Danio rerio: one gene and its partners. The protein of the gene in region 2 purifies or fractionates together with the protein of the main gene of each other region. This does not show direct contact. Links are inferred from orthologs where the notes say so. Each region holds a gene or a part of one and is shown on either strand. Other genes may lie near its edges.

The links. Proteins that work in one complex are often made in the same cells at the same time.
Region 1: the proteins of npm1b (region 2) and rpl6 purify together in Homo sapiens (affinity purification with mass spectrometry; 4 studies listed by BioGRID and IntAct, with this or other methods). This does not show direct contact. The link is inferred for Danio rerio from reciprocal best matches to the Homo sapiens genes NPM1 and RPL6.
Region 3: the proteins of npm1b (region 2) and abt1 purify together in Homo sapiens (co-immunoprecipitation; 3 studies listed by BioGRID and IntAct, with this or other methods). This does not show direct contact. The link is inferred for Danio rerio from reciprocal best matches to the Homo sapiens genes NPM1 and ABT1.

Annotation. Positions count from the first base shown.
Region 1 is NC_133183.1:3,721,904-3,726,337, forward strand, and holds the end of rpl6 (large ribosomal subunit protein eL6), read right to left. Parts: intron 3,713-4,434; coding exon 3,528-3,712; intron 1,902-3,527; coding exon 1,749-1,901; 3' UTR 1,718-1,748; downstream 1-1,717.
Region 2 is NC_133189.1:6,154,077-6,160,012, forward strand, and holds part of npm1b (nucleophosmin 1b), read right to left. Parts: intron 4,563-5,936; coding exon 4,477-4,562; intron 2,046-4,476; coding exon 1,988-2,045; intron 1-1,987. UniProt on the Homo sapiens protein: Involved in diverse cellular processes such as ribosome biogenesis, centrosome duplication, protein chaperoning, histone assembly, cell proliferation, and regulation of tumor suppressors p53/TP53 and ARF.
Region 3 is NC_133183.1:10,036,810-10,041,582, reverse strand, and holds the end of abt1 (activator of basal transcription 1), read left to right. Parts: exon of another isoform or gene 1-250; intron 251-456; exon of another isoform or gene 457-577; intron 578-2,355; coding exon 2,356-2,736; 3' UTR 2,737-3,056; downstream 3,057-4,773.

The DNA of each region.
Region 1 (4,434 bases), on a different chromosome or scaffold from region 2:
TTTTGTAACCACTGCTGGAAAACGCAGTGACTCATTTTATAACCCACTCAAAAAAATCAAGCTTAATACTTCGTACTTTAGAACATGAATATCAAACTGGATTCCTGGAGGGCTGGTGTACTGTATAGTTTAGCTCTAGCTTGCTTCAACAAAAAAGTTTCTGTAAACATAGAGTTTGATTAGCTGGTTCAAGTGTTTAAATGAGGATTGGAAATAAAATATGCAGGACACGGCCCTCCAGGATCAAGTTTGGACACCCCTGCTTTAGAACATTGGTCTCAAACTGGATTCCTGGAGGGCCGCAGCTCTGCAGTTTTGCTTCAACCCTAATCAACCACAGCTGATGCAAATAATCAAGGCGTTCAAGAATACTAAACACTGTTACGCAGGAAGTTTGAGACCACTGCAGTGGATTGATTTAGCTCTGCAACTGTTGTCAAATAAAAGATCACAAAATGCTACTTTAGAATTTGTAGTTTCAACTTAAAATGTGGATGATTTGCTCATAATTAGCTTTAAACTTCTGGGTAATCTTAGGGTAATGCATATTTTATATAATATACAATATATACACATTCACTTCACAAACTTGAATGTATGCAACCTATTGTATGAGATCAAGCTTAAATCTGTGCACTAAAGCATTTAAAACCATTAAAACTTCAAGCTGAATGCCATTTTCACATTCATGTTTAAGAAAAGACAGTTACGGGGTTAAATAACCTGCTTGTTTTTGTAACCAATGGTGGAAAACACAATGACTCATTTTATAACCCACTGAAAAACAATTAAGCTAAAAACTTCATACGTTAGAACAGGGGTTGGAGCTAAACAGAGCTGTGGCCCTCAAAGAATTGAGCTCGAGACCACTGCAGTGAATTGATTTAGCTTAAACCAGGGATGTACAAACTCCGTCCTGGAGGGTCGCTATCCTGCGTAGTTTAACTCAACTAGCTTCAACACACCTGCCTGGAAGGTTCTAGTATACCTAGAAAGAGCTTGATTGGCGGGTTCAGCTGTGTTTAATTGGACTTGCACTAAATTATGTAGGACTGAGTTTGGACTCCCGTCCTAAACTGTTCAGTCAAATTAAAGACTACAAAATGTTACTATGGTATTTGATGTAGTTTCAACCTAAAATGGTGGATAATTTGCTCATAATTAGCTTTAAACGTGTGGTAAATGTTAGATTAATACATATTTTATATACATTCACTTCATAATCTTGAATGTATGCAACCTATCAAAGACCAAACTTAAACCTGTGCTCTGAAAACCACCAAAGCTTGAACATCATTTTCACATTCATGCTCAAGACAGACAGCCAAGGGGTTCAATAATCTACTTGTTTTTGTAACCATTGCTGGAAAACACAATCACTCATTTTATTTAAAAAAAAAAAAAAAAAAAAAAAAAGGCTAAATACTTCATACTTCAGAACAGGGGTCTTAAACTGGATTCCTGGAGGGCTGCAGCTCTGCAGAGTTACTTTAATCCTAATCAAACTCAGCTGATGTAGCTAATCAAGGTGTTCAAGACTACTAGACACTTAACTAAACTGAGCTGCGGCCCTCCAGGAATTGAGTTTGAGACCCCTGCTTTAGAATATTTATTAACAAAATGAATGATTAGCGATCTAAAAACAGATTCATGAAATAATTCTCCACCTCCAGCCTTCAACATGAGAAAACGACAACAAGAAACAAAGCAGCACAGAAACGGATCTGGGTTGACGTTTTATTAGCATTTTAGAAAACCAGTTTGTGTGGGTAGACTCCATTAGACAGGGAGAACATGGAGCGCAGGTAACCCCTGAGCTGAGGAACCTTCTTGATCAGAGGAAGCAGCTGAGAGTCCACTGCTTTCTGGTCTGCCTTGCGCTGCTCCGTCAACTGGTACTTCTGCAAACCACAGAAACACACAACATTAGGGGGGAAAATAAAAACAACCAGTAGCCATATTTCCATCAACATTTCTATGGGTTTTTGAAAAGTCTCAAAAAAAAGTGTAGATGTTCACTCACTATTAAATGGCCATTAAAAAATACGTTAAGTTACAAGTACTATTTTTAACTGATTGGGTGCATTTAGGTGTGCTAAAAATCATTTAATGAATAAATGACAGTATGCGGAGCAAGAAGAAGTCATGCGATTGTGTTTTTTCAAAGAGTTCAGCAACAGTACTAGTTTAAGTACTAAATCTCAGAATAAACTGACTATATTCATGGCTGTTTATTTGCACAGATTCTGCATGATACCTAAACCCAACTATAACCCTAACTATTAATAAGCAGTGTGAAGTTTGGAGCAACAGAAGGAGTTTGAGCTGAAAGTCTTAATCATTGGTTTGTCAATAGTGAGAATTGGTGCTGCACAATAAATCGTTTAAGCATCTATAATAAGTGATAGTTATGGTAATTTATTAAATATTAAAATATAAAGAAATAACATTAGTATTTTAAAACAATTTCTACAATAATGACCATGTTATTTTATGCTTGATTGTTCAAGTTCTGTACCTGAATACTATTAGACCAGTGTTTCTCAACCATGTTCCCGGAGGATCACCAGCACTGCATGTTTTGGATGTCTCCTTTGTCACACTCATTAGTCTTTCAGTCTCTACTAATAAGCTAATGATCTAAATCAGGGGTGCTTGGTTACGGAGACATGGGAAAACGTGCAGTGCTGGTGATCCTCCAGAAACATGGTTGAGAAACACTGTATTAGACTCCAGAAAACCATATTTAACATCTTTGCTCTGTTGAATTTATATATGCTTGTAATTTAATATTTATTCATTTTCCTTTAGCTTGGTCCCTTTATTTATCAGGGGGGGGGGGGGTCGCCAACTGTGTATTGGGTGTTTCCCAGTGCTGGGTTGCAGCTGGAAGGGCATCCGCTACATAAAACATTCGTAATTTAATACATTTCATGCAAAGCACTGTATAGAACAATAATTTATCCCAATCTATATAAATTAAAGAAGCCTTACTAATAGAGCCATTCAATTCATCTGGTGACATTATTCATAATCACAACAAAATATATATATATAAATATATATATATATATATATATATATATATATATATAAATATATATATATATATATATAAATATATATATATATATATATAAATATATATATATATATATATATATATATATATATATATATATATATATATATATATATATATATATATATATAAATATATATATATATAAATATATATATATATATATATATATATTTTTTTTTTTTTGTGATTATGAATAATGTCACCAGATGAATTGAATGGCTATATAATAAAATAATATATATATGGCAGATATCTGGAGGTTATCAACTATGTTTGCTTATAATAATTGTTTAAAGCCATTAGTTACTAGTTGATCAGTTTTAAGTTATTAGTAAGTAATGAAATTATGGTAATAACTAACATTTTCGCGCTGCACTAGTGAGAATTGTACATTAAAATAAATGGTGACCCATAAAAGAAGTAAATAAATGAGCTATCTGACCTCCTTCTCGGTGTCGAAGATCTCTCCCTCCTGGTGCTTGGGTTTCCTCAGCTTCTTCTTCTTGAAGTAAGAGTCGGTCAGTGTTCTGGGGATCTTCATGCCAGAGATGTCCACTTTGGTGTTTGTGGCGATGCAGAACTTCTGGTGAGCTCTACGCAGAGGGACGCGGTTGATAGCCAGAGGACCTGAGAGAGACACACCAGAGCACAATCAATTATTCAACACCGCAAAACTGCAACAAAACCCCAGCATGGCTGAATGATACTGGGGAAACTCACTGAAGGAGACTTTACCTTACTGATAAGCAAAATATACAGGCAGTTGTGATATGGAAAGCCTTCATGTAGGAACAATTATACACGAGATTCGAGTTAGAGAAAGAAACATTTACTGCAATATGAGTCTTTAACAGGTCACATTTACACTGTTACATTGAGTATGGGTGCAATATTTAAAGTCTTATATTATCATTAGTTTAAGGTTAGAGTTGTGTTTATGGAGTTAAACTGCAACAAAATCCCAGTATGGCTGCATGATACTGGAGAACAACACTGACAGGATGACTTTTCCTTTCTGACGTAGAAATTAAACAGACATTTTTACCAGACAATTATTTTCCTCTATTTTTATAGGGATTTTACAATGTAGATTGTGTTAAAGCAGCTTAACATTGACGTTCTAGTAAATTGAAACAGTGCCAGTGCAGTTTTCAGAGTTGAAGTTCAGTTCAGTGTGGTTTAATATTCAATACTGAGAGTCCAAACACTGAAGAGCATTCATTGAGCAAGAATCATCATCAATTGGAGTTCTTCACAGGGCTTTACACTGTGACTAATGCAGCATAGAGTATGGGTGTGATATTAAGTCATACACTATCGTCATTATTATTAAGGTAAGAGCAGAGTCA
Region 2 (5,936 bases):
CACTACTACGATTACAAAAAAGTTTGCGCTGTTATAATTTACTTACCTTTTAATGCGTTCTGGTGCAATTACACCTCGCTATTAAAACAACAACAACAACAATGACTGAATGTTTTGAATGAGAAGCTGTAATGTAGCTGTGGTGGTATGAATGAATGTAGGCGGAAACCATGCTATACCAATGTTGGGGACTCGGGGGTTTCACAGACCGTATCAAAATGCTGAGGACCAGCATTTATCCGGGATAATTAACAAAAAGGGGCTGGTGTCTTAAGATGGGCCTGAAATACAGGAGATCCCAGGAAAAACAGGAGTGTTGGCAGGTATGTCCACACATGCACTCTGCACTCTGACTACTTCAATATTGTTATTAAGCCGTGCTGACCATTTCACTCTGTCTCACGCAAAACGCAGTCGACCAGTCGCAACAGGCTGACGTCAGCCCAATCAGCGCAGATTAGTTTCACGCTGAGCAGGGATTCGGGAACAAATGAATCGCTGAACAAAAAATATGGGAGTCACTGGGATAATTAGGTAAAAATAAATGCATATAAGACAATGAAAATGTTTTTGACCTAGCATGCATATCAGCCTGTTGTTGGAGACACTTAAACCAAAATATGACCATTTTTAATGTATAATAGGGGCTCTTTAAGTGATTTGTTTGCCTGATAATGCCACATCAGCAGCTTACATATACAGTTGAAGTCAAAATGATTCGACCTCCTGTGAAGTTTTTTTTCTTATTAAATGTTTCCCAAATGATGTTTAACAGAGCAAGTATTTCCTATAATATTATTTCTTCTGGAGAAAGACCAAATTGTTTTATTTTGGATAAAGTAAAAGCAGCTTTATTAAAAGTGCTATTTTAAGGTCAATATTATTAGCCCTTTTAAGCTATTTTTATCATGTACAGAACAAACCATCATTATACAATGATTTGCCTAATTACCCTAACTTGCCTAATTAACCTAGTAAAGTCTTTAAATGTCACTTTAAGCTGAATACTATCTTGAAAAATATCTAGTAAATTATTATGTACTGTCATCATGGCAGAGATAAAATAAATCAGTTATTAGAAATGAGTTACTAAAACTATTTTGTTTAGAAATGTGTTAAAAAAAAAAACTCTCCGTTAAACAGAAATTGGGAGAAAAAAATATACAGGGGGGCTAATAATTCTGACTTCAACTATGTGTGACACGTTGCTAAAAACATTATTACACATATATTAAACTAGAGTAAAAATTGCTTATTTTTGCATTGTTTAGAGCAAAATGATCATTACATTACATTCCACATAGAGAGAGAAAGCAAGTATGAACAGACATGAGAAATGGATATGAACAAGATGATAAAGATGGCACCAAAAGACACTTTAGTTATTAAAATGTGAAGGAAAGAATATAAAGTGCTCTCGAAGCTGATGGGGTGAATACAGGTGCTGAAAGATTCTGAGTCTCTCTCAGGAAGAGACTGGCACCTGCTGGTCACTCTGGTGTTCACTTCGGAACACAGTGGGAACATGGCGAAATGTAACATGCAATGTGAACATGTTTCAAAGTATGGAGAAAAGAAGATTTTTATCAAATAAAAACAGAAAATAAAAAAACCTGGAGTTATCCTGAAAAACTCAGCTTTGCATCACAAATGTTTTGCATCTTAGAATATATTAGGAAAATATAATTTAGTTTATTAACAGTTTTTAACAGTAATTACTATTACTAACTAATAATACACAGTAATATTAATAAACTGTTATGTTTTACAATATCACACAATTGCTGTCTTGGAAAACTCTAAAAATGTAGAAAAAAAATTAATACAGTAATTCCAATATTGTGAAATATCATTACTGTTAATCACTATTATTTTAAAAGTTAAAATATATATTTTTATTTAATATAATCCTGTTCTTTATATATATAGCATAAGTACCAAACTTCTTTTTCCAAATATTCTAAACAAAAAAAGCAGGAAAACTTACTTTTTGAGTGGATTTGACAGGGCTCTTTACAGCAGGCTTTTCTTGTTTGTCATCATCCCTAAAGATAGATAAAATTAATTTCAACATCTGAACATTTGAAGTGGATCTTAACATTTGAAGTGGATAAAATAAAGATTTTAAAAAATTGTCCCAAGACAAGAATGGGTGTTGTTGGTAGCTTCAAATGTTGACAACTGTGTATATATATATATATATATATATATATATATATATATATATATATATATATATATATATATATATATATATATATATACATATATATATGTGTGTGTGTGTGTGTGTGTGCATGTGTGTGTATGTATGCAAAAAACGATGCTAGAGTTTGAGATTCTTTAAAAAAAAAAAAAGTGTCATTGTGCAAGCAGCAGCAGTTGCCGCTTTCACTTTAACCATTCTTTGAAAAGATTATTAATGGGCTTTTTCCAGAGATGGGTTGCGGCTGGAAGGGCATCCTCTGCGTAAAAACATGCTGGATAAGTTGGCGGTTCATTCCGCTGTCACGACCACGGATTAATAAAGGGACTAAGCCAACAAGAAAATGAATTAATTAATTAATGGGCCTAACATTAACCGTGTGCAGGTGATCATCCTTTCATTATGGCATGTTTTTCACCTGCTTTCTTTTACAGTTATTGTTTTATTAATTATGGTATATTAATCATCCTTTACAATACCATTGCTTTATTAGTAGATTAACTTCCCATTTATTTGTAGTTAACTGGTGTTCTGGGACCTTTAGCCAGTACAGACTACTGTTCATACTTCTAGATACATGACAATAAATATTTTTAAAATGTCAATTGTATTTTTTTAAAGAAAAGTTTTGTTGAATAAAAAGTGTTTGTTTACAGCTATATTTGGCTTGTTTTGAAAATTTCTAATTATTTTAAATTTGTGGATAAGAATTTTTTTTTTTTTGAGTTTTGTTTTTTTTGGTGTAGCCAGATAATAATAAGGTAAATCTGTAGTGTTGATCCCTGTTAAGTCTTGTGAAACAAGAACTATTTGCAATGCAGCACTAAAATCTATTTGCTCATGCTCATTGTACGAGGTCATACACAACACACAAAACGTGAAATAAATAAGGAGTCATGTAGACATAGCACAACTTCTAAATTAAAAAGTTTAGCATGCCAAAATCAAATATATGCATATAAAATGTATTCTCCTTACAACAAAATTGTAGGTCGTGAAAATGGCGAGTGGCTAGTAATGTTGAAAAACTACTAGCCACAGTCACTAATATAAATATAAATATATATATATATATATATATATATATATATATATATATATATATATATATATATATATATATATATATATATATATATATTACTCATAAATTATAAATAAATAAATTCGTATTCATAAATTACCTTTCACGTGAATGTGCAAATTGTATTTCACATTCGCCCTGGATTTGTGATTGTTTATATTTTTGAGACTTTCCAGGCAGCACACAACTCTCACACAGATCACTTTTTAGCAAATCAGATGAGACGTCATTGTTCAACCAATCATACCTCAAAGAGAGCAATGTAATTGAGGTACTCCACTTGGCAAACCATTTATGTAATCAGACTTAATTTAGAAAGGAATAAACACACACACAAATCTAAGTTGATTCACACATGAAAGACGATTTGCCCATTTGATTTGCGTAGTAATGTAAAACAAATTTTAAACATTTACAACTTTTTGTACACTGTTATACATTTTTAATTTGTAATATACATTGTTGACATTTCTAAAATGATTTTTTGAATATACAGTTAAAGTCAGAAATATAAACCCCCTTTTAATTTTAAATTTATTTTTTATATTTCCCAAATGATGTAACATAGCAAGAAAATTTTCACAGTATGTCTGATAATATTTTTTCTTCTAGAAAAATTCTTATTTGTTTTATTTCAGCTAGAATAAAAGCAGTTTTTAATTTTTTAAATACCATTTTTGGGGACACAATTATTAGCCCCTTTAAGCTATTTTTTTTTTCCGATAGTCAACAGAACAAACCATTGTTATACAATAACTTGCCTAATTACCCTATCCTGCCTAACTAACATAATTAACCTAGTTAATCGTAGTTAAACACTTTAAGCTGTATTGAAGTGTCTTAAAAAATATCTAGTCAAATATTATTTACTGCCATCATGGCAAAAATCAAATAAATCAGTTATTATAAATGAGTTATTAAAACTATTATGCTTAGAAATATGTTGACAAAATCTTCTCTCCGTTAAACAGAAATTGAGGAGAAAAAATAAACGAGGGCTAATAATTTAGGGAGGCTAATAATTCTGACTTCAACTGTATAATTTAATTGTATGCATGTAAACTGTTTTTATGATTATATATATTTTGTCATATACTTAAGTATAAATGAACCTTATTGAAGTAGTTCACTGCGTGTAAAAACTTTCAATGAAACACTTTATAACTGAACAAACTTGAGCTCTTACTCTTCTTCATCATCATCATCATCGTCGTCGTCGTCGTCATCATCATCGCTGTCTTCATCCTCATCTGAGTCCATTTTCAGCTTTTTCTAAATAAAAAAAAAGAAAAAAAATACCTCTATTAGAAGCAGAAAATTAGATGATATAATCATATTACATTATATTTAAACTATAGTTATGCAATTATATTACTTATTTTTATATTCCTGGTGTCTCAATTTTATGAAGTAATAAGCAGCAAAAAATAAATAAGCATTGCAGTTATTTTTTGGCCAGTAAATCACATCCTTAAAAAGAAAGTCCCTCAAAATGAAAAATCCTGTCATCATTTACTCACCCTTAACTTGAACGCAAAAGAAGATGTTTTGAAAAATGTTGAAAACCTGTGACCATTGATTTCCATAGTATTTGCTACAACGGAAGTCAATGGTTACTGGATTTTTACATTAAAAAGAAACTCATAAAATGATGAAACCACATGAGGGAGAGTAAACAGTGAGTACATTTTTCATTTTGGGGTGCACTATCCATTTAACCCTAGTAAAACTCACTGGAAGTGACAGCATCTCACGGCTTGCTGCTTTAATAGGAATTCTGGGATCATTTCAACACCCTGACAAATAATTTCAAACAAACTCTCTGTGTATCACATTGACGGCAAGCTGTTGCTTGTCTCAGACACTTATCTAGAGGATTAAGTGTGTATTGAACAATGTGTCTCTTTATTGAGATTCCATGAAAGTCAACAAGGAAACTTTCACACATCTTTTTTAAATGTTTCTGGACATCTTGTTGACACCCTAATTTCTTAAGAACAAATAAAAAGGACAACCAGTTCCTGTTGTAGTTTTTTCCCCTGGTACAAATATCTTAACAATAGTAAACCAAAAAAAAAAGCAACAAACAAATATAAGTCAAAATTATTCATCCTGCTGTGAATTTTTTTTTTTATCTTACTCAAATATTTCCCAAATTATGTATAACAGAGTGATGAATTTCTCACAGTATTTGCACTAATATTTTTTTTCTTCTTGAGAAAGTCTTATTTGTTTTGTTTCAGCTAGAATAAAAGCAGTTTTTAATTTTTGGTTGTTTTTTGCGTTATTTCGAGCAAATTTGTTCTTCTGTTTTGAAACAAATTTTTGAAGCTGCCTCACGGCAATAAGATCCTTGTGTGAATTCCAGCATGTAGAGTGGATGTTTGTACAGGTGAGTACAATGTGACGCGTTTGAGTATGCAGCATTAATTCATGAGAAAGACTTGGTTCAAACCAATCAGTGCGCTCTATTGTGTATGCGGTGCAACTTCATTAATATGCAAGATAGCTTCTAAGACTGTTTTTACCTGTTACAGTGTTCAGAGAAATGCCACGATGTGTTGCCAAATCAAGTGGAAGAAGAAGAATCGTTTGGAGAAACAGGTCATCAGTGTTGTGTTTATTAATGTGCTGCAATGAAGGTTT
Region 3 (4,773 bases), on a different chromosome or scaffold from region 2:
ATTGAGAAGTCTTTTAAAGGAAATTAACACCTTTAATTCACAAAGATGCATTTAAATCATCAGAAGATACATTTGAATTCAGCATGAAATGGAAGTTAAGATCTTGCTAACATCTTGACACACAACTGGGGATGCAACGATTAACAAGTTTCACTAATAACCACGCTTTCATTCATCACAGCACAGAACAAAACTGCTGGCAACTAAACAAAGTTATGTCAACTGTGCAGTAGTTTAAATTTCTAAGCATGTACACCGAGGCTAATACCCATTCACACTTTATTAACTAAGGCTAATTATTTTTTTTTTTAGATGCAGTCCTTGAGGGCTGGTGTCCTGGAGAGTTTAGCTCCAACCCTAATTTAACACACCTGAATCAGCTAATCAAGCTCCTATTAGATATACTAGAAACTTCCGGGCAGGTGTGTTAAAGCAAGTTGTAGCTAAATTCTCCAGGACACCGGCCCTCCAGGACCGAGTTTGGGCACCCCTGCATCAGACAAATACTATTTATTTATTCTTACTTTTAATTATTTTTACTGCATTTCCAAACATTTAAATGCACTCATTCTGAGCGAAAAAGACTTTGAAAACATTTTAAAGTATAAATATAACGTTATACAGGGTGGCCCATTTATATGGATACACCTAAAAAAATGGGAGTGGTTGGTGATATTATTGTCCTGTTTGTGGCACATTAGTATATGTGAGGGGGCAAACTTTTCAAGATAGGTGGTGACCATGGTGGCCATTTTGAAGTCGGGCATCTTGGATCCAACCTTTGTTTTTTTTTTCAAAAGTAAGACAGTCATTTGACACTTTCTCCTGCGGTGTTGCAATCAGTGTGTGAAGAGTTTTAGAAGAGGGTTGCATTGACAATCTAACACAATGGGCAGCACATTGAACACATTTAATAAGTGGTCAGAAACTTTGAAATAACACATGAAAGAATAAATTTACGTTAAAACTAATCACACCATTGTTTTTCTTGTGAAATTCCCAATAGGTTTGATGTGTCAAATGACCCTCTTCCTATTGAAAAAACAAAAGTTGGATCCAAGATGGCCGACTTCAAAAGGGCACCATGGTCACCACCCATTCTGAAAAGTTTGCCCCCTCCTATATACTAATGTGCCACAAACCGGACGTTAATATCACCAACCATTCCCATTTTATTAAGGTGTATCCATATAAATGGCCCACCCTGTAGACATAGTTCCAAAAACATTCGCAATGTTAAAGAATAGCATAGTTCACGCACTCCAAAAAATGTTTAAACTACTTATTTAGAATGAGCTAAAACAACACAATTCCTGAGATTATTTTTGGGACGACTCAATTGTTTTAAATCAATTAACTTGATTTGTGAACTTGATTTGAAAAAATTATTTGTGTTGGGACAACATAAATTAATCGTGTGGAGCCCTGCACTTTTTACAGTGCACCACAACTTTAACGATAAAGATACAGAGGATCGATATCATTGGGATCACTTTCAGAATTATTTTTCCTCGCTAATGAATGATAAAATCCCGACAGCCAGTCAGAATCCATTGAAAATGAACACAATTCACAATTATTTATTTATTTATTTTTCTAAATTAGTTTTTATTGATTTTATAGGAACATATAACCAGTGGGAACAAAACAAGCAAATAAAAAATAAATAAATAAAAAATACACATATAAATAAATATACATATGTATACATACTTTTATAGGCAAACACATCCATTCCACACATGTATATCCATATACACACATGCATAAAAATATTAAATTAACCTCATTAAAATAAATAAGTATAAAATAAATTATAATAAAAGGTTGCCAAACATATTTTCACAATGATACATAACCTCTAGAATTACGTAAATATTCAGTTATAAATAATTATTTTGTCGTTGAGGAGAAAGCCAGCCATTTACTCCATTTCTTTCCAAAGGTTTCTAATTGTGATCGAAGTGCATGTGTCATTTTTTCCATTTCCTTTATTTCTGCTATAATTTTGAACCATTCATCTTTAGTTGGTGGCTCTTCTTTATAACATTTCTGGGTTATAGCTTTTTTACTTGTTGCCAAAAATATCTTAAATAGATATTTATTTTCCTTTTTAAGATTATCAGGAGTATCTCCTAGATAAAGTACTTCAAATGATCTAGGAATATAAGGAAACAAAAATATAATTGATGGTGTAGTGCACAATTCTTGAGCATTGACGATTCATAATTGTAATGATTTTACTGCATGTCCAAGCAATTAAATGCACTCTTGCTGACTTCTTTCATAAACTTTGAATACATTTGATTTCAAAAAGCAGTGTATTGAACAATAGCATCCCTCTCTTCCATTAAGTATCTGCACAGGTTCCAGTGGTGTCATCTCAGCGAGCGTTTGGCCTACGAACAGACAGTTTATCACCAGCGCATGAGGACCGAAATCTCTCAGGCTAAGAAGGAGACCAACTTCTACCTGGCCAGCGTGGAAAAGAGCCAGAGCCTGGAGAAACTCCGGAAGAAGAGGGCGAAGAAGGGAGAGGTCGTGGAGGAGAAAACGTGGGACTACAAACAGCGTCCTACAGAGGAGGAGATCCACCTGAAACGCTTTAAGAGCAAAGGCATTTCCAAGAAGAGCCTCCAGAAGGCGCAAGAGAAGAGCAAAAGCATCCAGGACAAAGCACAATCCAACGTATCCCTCCTGGCCAAGATCTTCAGCAGTAGCAAAGCCCGGGATTGATGCGCTGAGAACGTTCAGGTGCTTTCAGCTTTCGTTGACACCACAGAGTATAATCAAGGAGTTTTCTTGTGTATTTGAGATGCATTTTTCAGATTATTTGGCAACGTACAGATTCTAAACTCATGTTTTGCAGCATTTTTGACAGAATAGATGTAACTCACATGCAGAGTGTTCTGATTTATATATCTCAGCAGTAAAAACGCTGCACTATCATTCTGAAAAAGTCTTTATTTTCCCTTGAAAAGAAACTGAATGTCAAATTTTGTTGAAAAACAAGGCTAAAAATCTGTCATTATTAAAAAAAACGACTAATATCCCAATTGTGAATTAGGTGGGTTTTCATCAAGTTGTTAACGCTCATTCATACCAAGCACGTCACGATAACTATTAATATAATGAAAAAGATAGTTGTAAAAGTCAATCACAGTGTTAAAGAAGAGCATAGTTCACAACACTTTGACAGAACAGACATAACCCACAGTAGATTGTTCTGATTTTATATCTTTAACAGTTAATTCAATTCAGCTTTATTTGTATAGCGCTTTTACAATGTAGATTGTGTCAAAGCAGCTTCACATAAATGGTCATAGTAACCGGAATAGTTTAGCTCAGTTCAGTGCGAGTTAAAACAGTGGACTATCATTCTGGAAAAGTCTTTATTTTCTCAATGATGTCTTCTGAAACAATATTGGATTGCTGGTTCATGAATTTATACACTGATTCTGTGTCATGCCAAAGTAATTTTGTTGAAAAACAAGGCTAAAAATCTGTCATTATTAAAAAAAACGACTAATATCCCAATTGTGAATTAGGTGGCTTTTCATCAATTTAAGGCCCTTTCACACCAAGCACGATAATTATGAATATAATGATAAAGTTCTGAAAGTCATTCACAGTATTTAAGGATAGCATAGTTCAGACCACAACAACTACAACGATAAAGATACAGAAGGACCATATCGTGGGATCACTTTTGGAACAATTTTTTCAACAACCAGTCAGAATAAATTGAAAATTAAATTCTTGCTTAATTTAAACACACAGGAAACACTAGCTATGGTTACATCCCCCTATTTTATGCACATTATGAATATGCACATAAAAAAAGGTTGATGGAAACGCCAAGATGCTCATAAAATCTAAAAATACACATTACCGAGTAGGATGTGCACATAACAGAGTAAGATATGCACATAACCGAGTAGAATAAACTTTTTTGTTTGATAAGAAAAAATGTGTTTAAACTGTAATGGAAGTTCTAGCTATGTTTCTTTCTTAATATGCTAATTAAATTTATGCGCTAACTGGAATCTCGTATATAAGACATGAATAAAGCAGCGTTTCCATCCAAGTAGTCAAAGAGAGCAAAATCATCACTTCCTGATTAACTGGGGCCAAATATCAAAAGTAAAATTGGAATTTCCTGCGGTAGGAAAAGCTGCGTGAATGTTTTTCTTTATTTAATAAATGAATTTAATAAAATACTAAGCTGACACGCAATGAACGCGTGGTGGCGTTTAAAGGCGTCAGAGCATAGTCGTGGTCTGCTCTGTGTCTCAAGTCTGCCAACGTGCGTCGAGCTAGCAGATAAACGTAACAGCGGGAAAGCCATCCATACGGAGGTAAGCTGTCAGCTGGTAGCGCGAAAAGGAACTGCGACATACCGCCCCAAAGTGTTTGTATTAATGTATGGACACAGCTGATTGGTCACATGCGAGTTATTTTCGCTACATCAGAGTTTATTTGGCAACTGCATTTTTGTCTCCTATTATTCAAATTAAAACTTTCACAAAAGATCAAAACCAAACTCGAGTGAGTGTAAAAACTTTTTCAAAATGAAATAAAGGGATTTGTATTCTAAATTGGACATTTTTTCCATTATTCTTTTTTTATGCGCTACTTTAAGCGTCACTCGGCTATTATGTGTTTAACTTCCTGAAATGTGGGATGTTTTTCAGTACATTTTGTCTAAAATTGAATTGATTTGATTCAATAATTTGATTCAACAATTTGCAGTAAATGCTTTAAACCATTGAG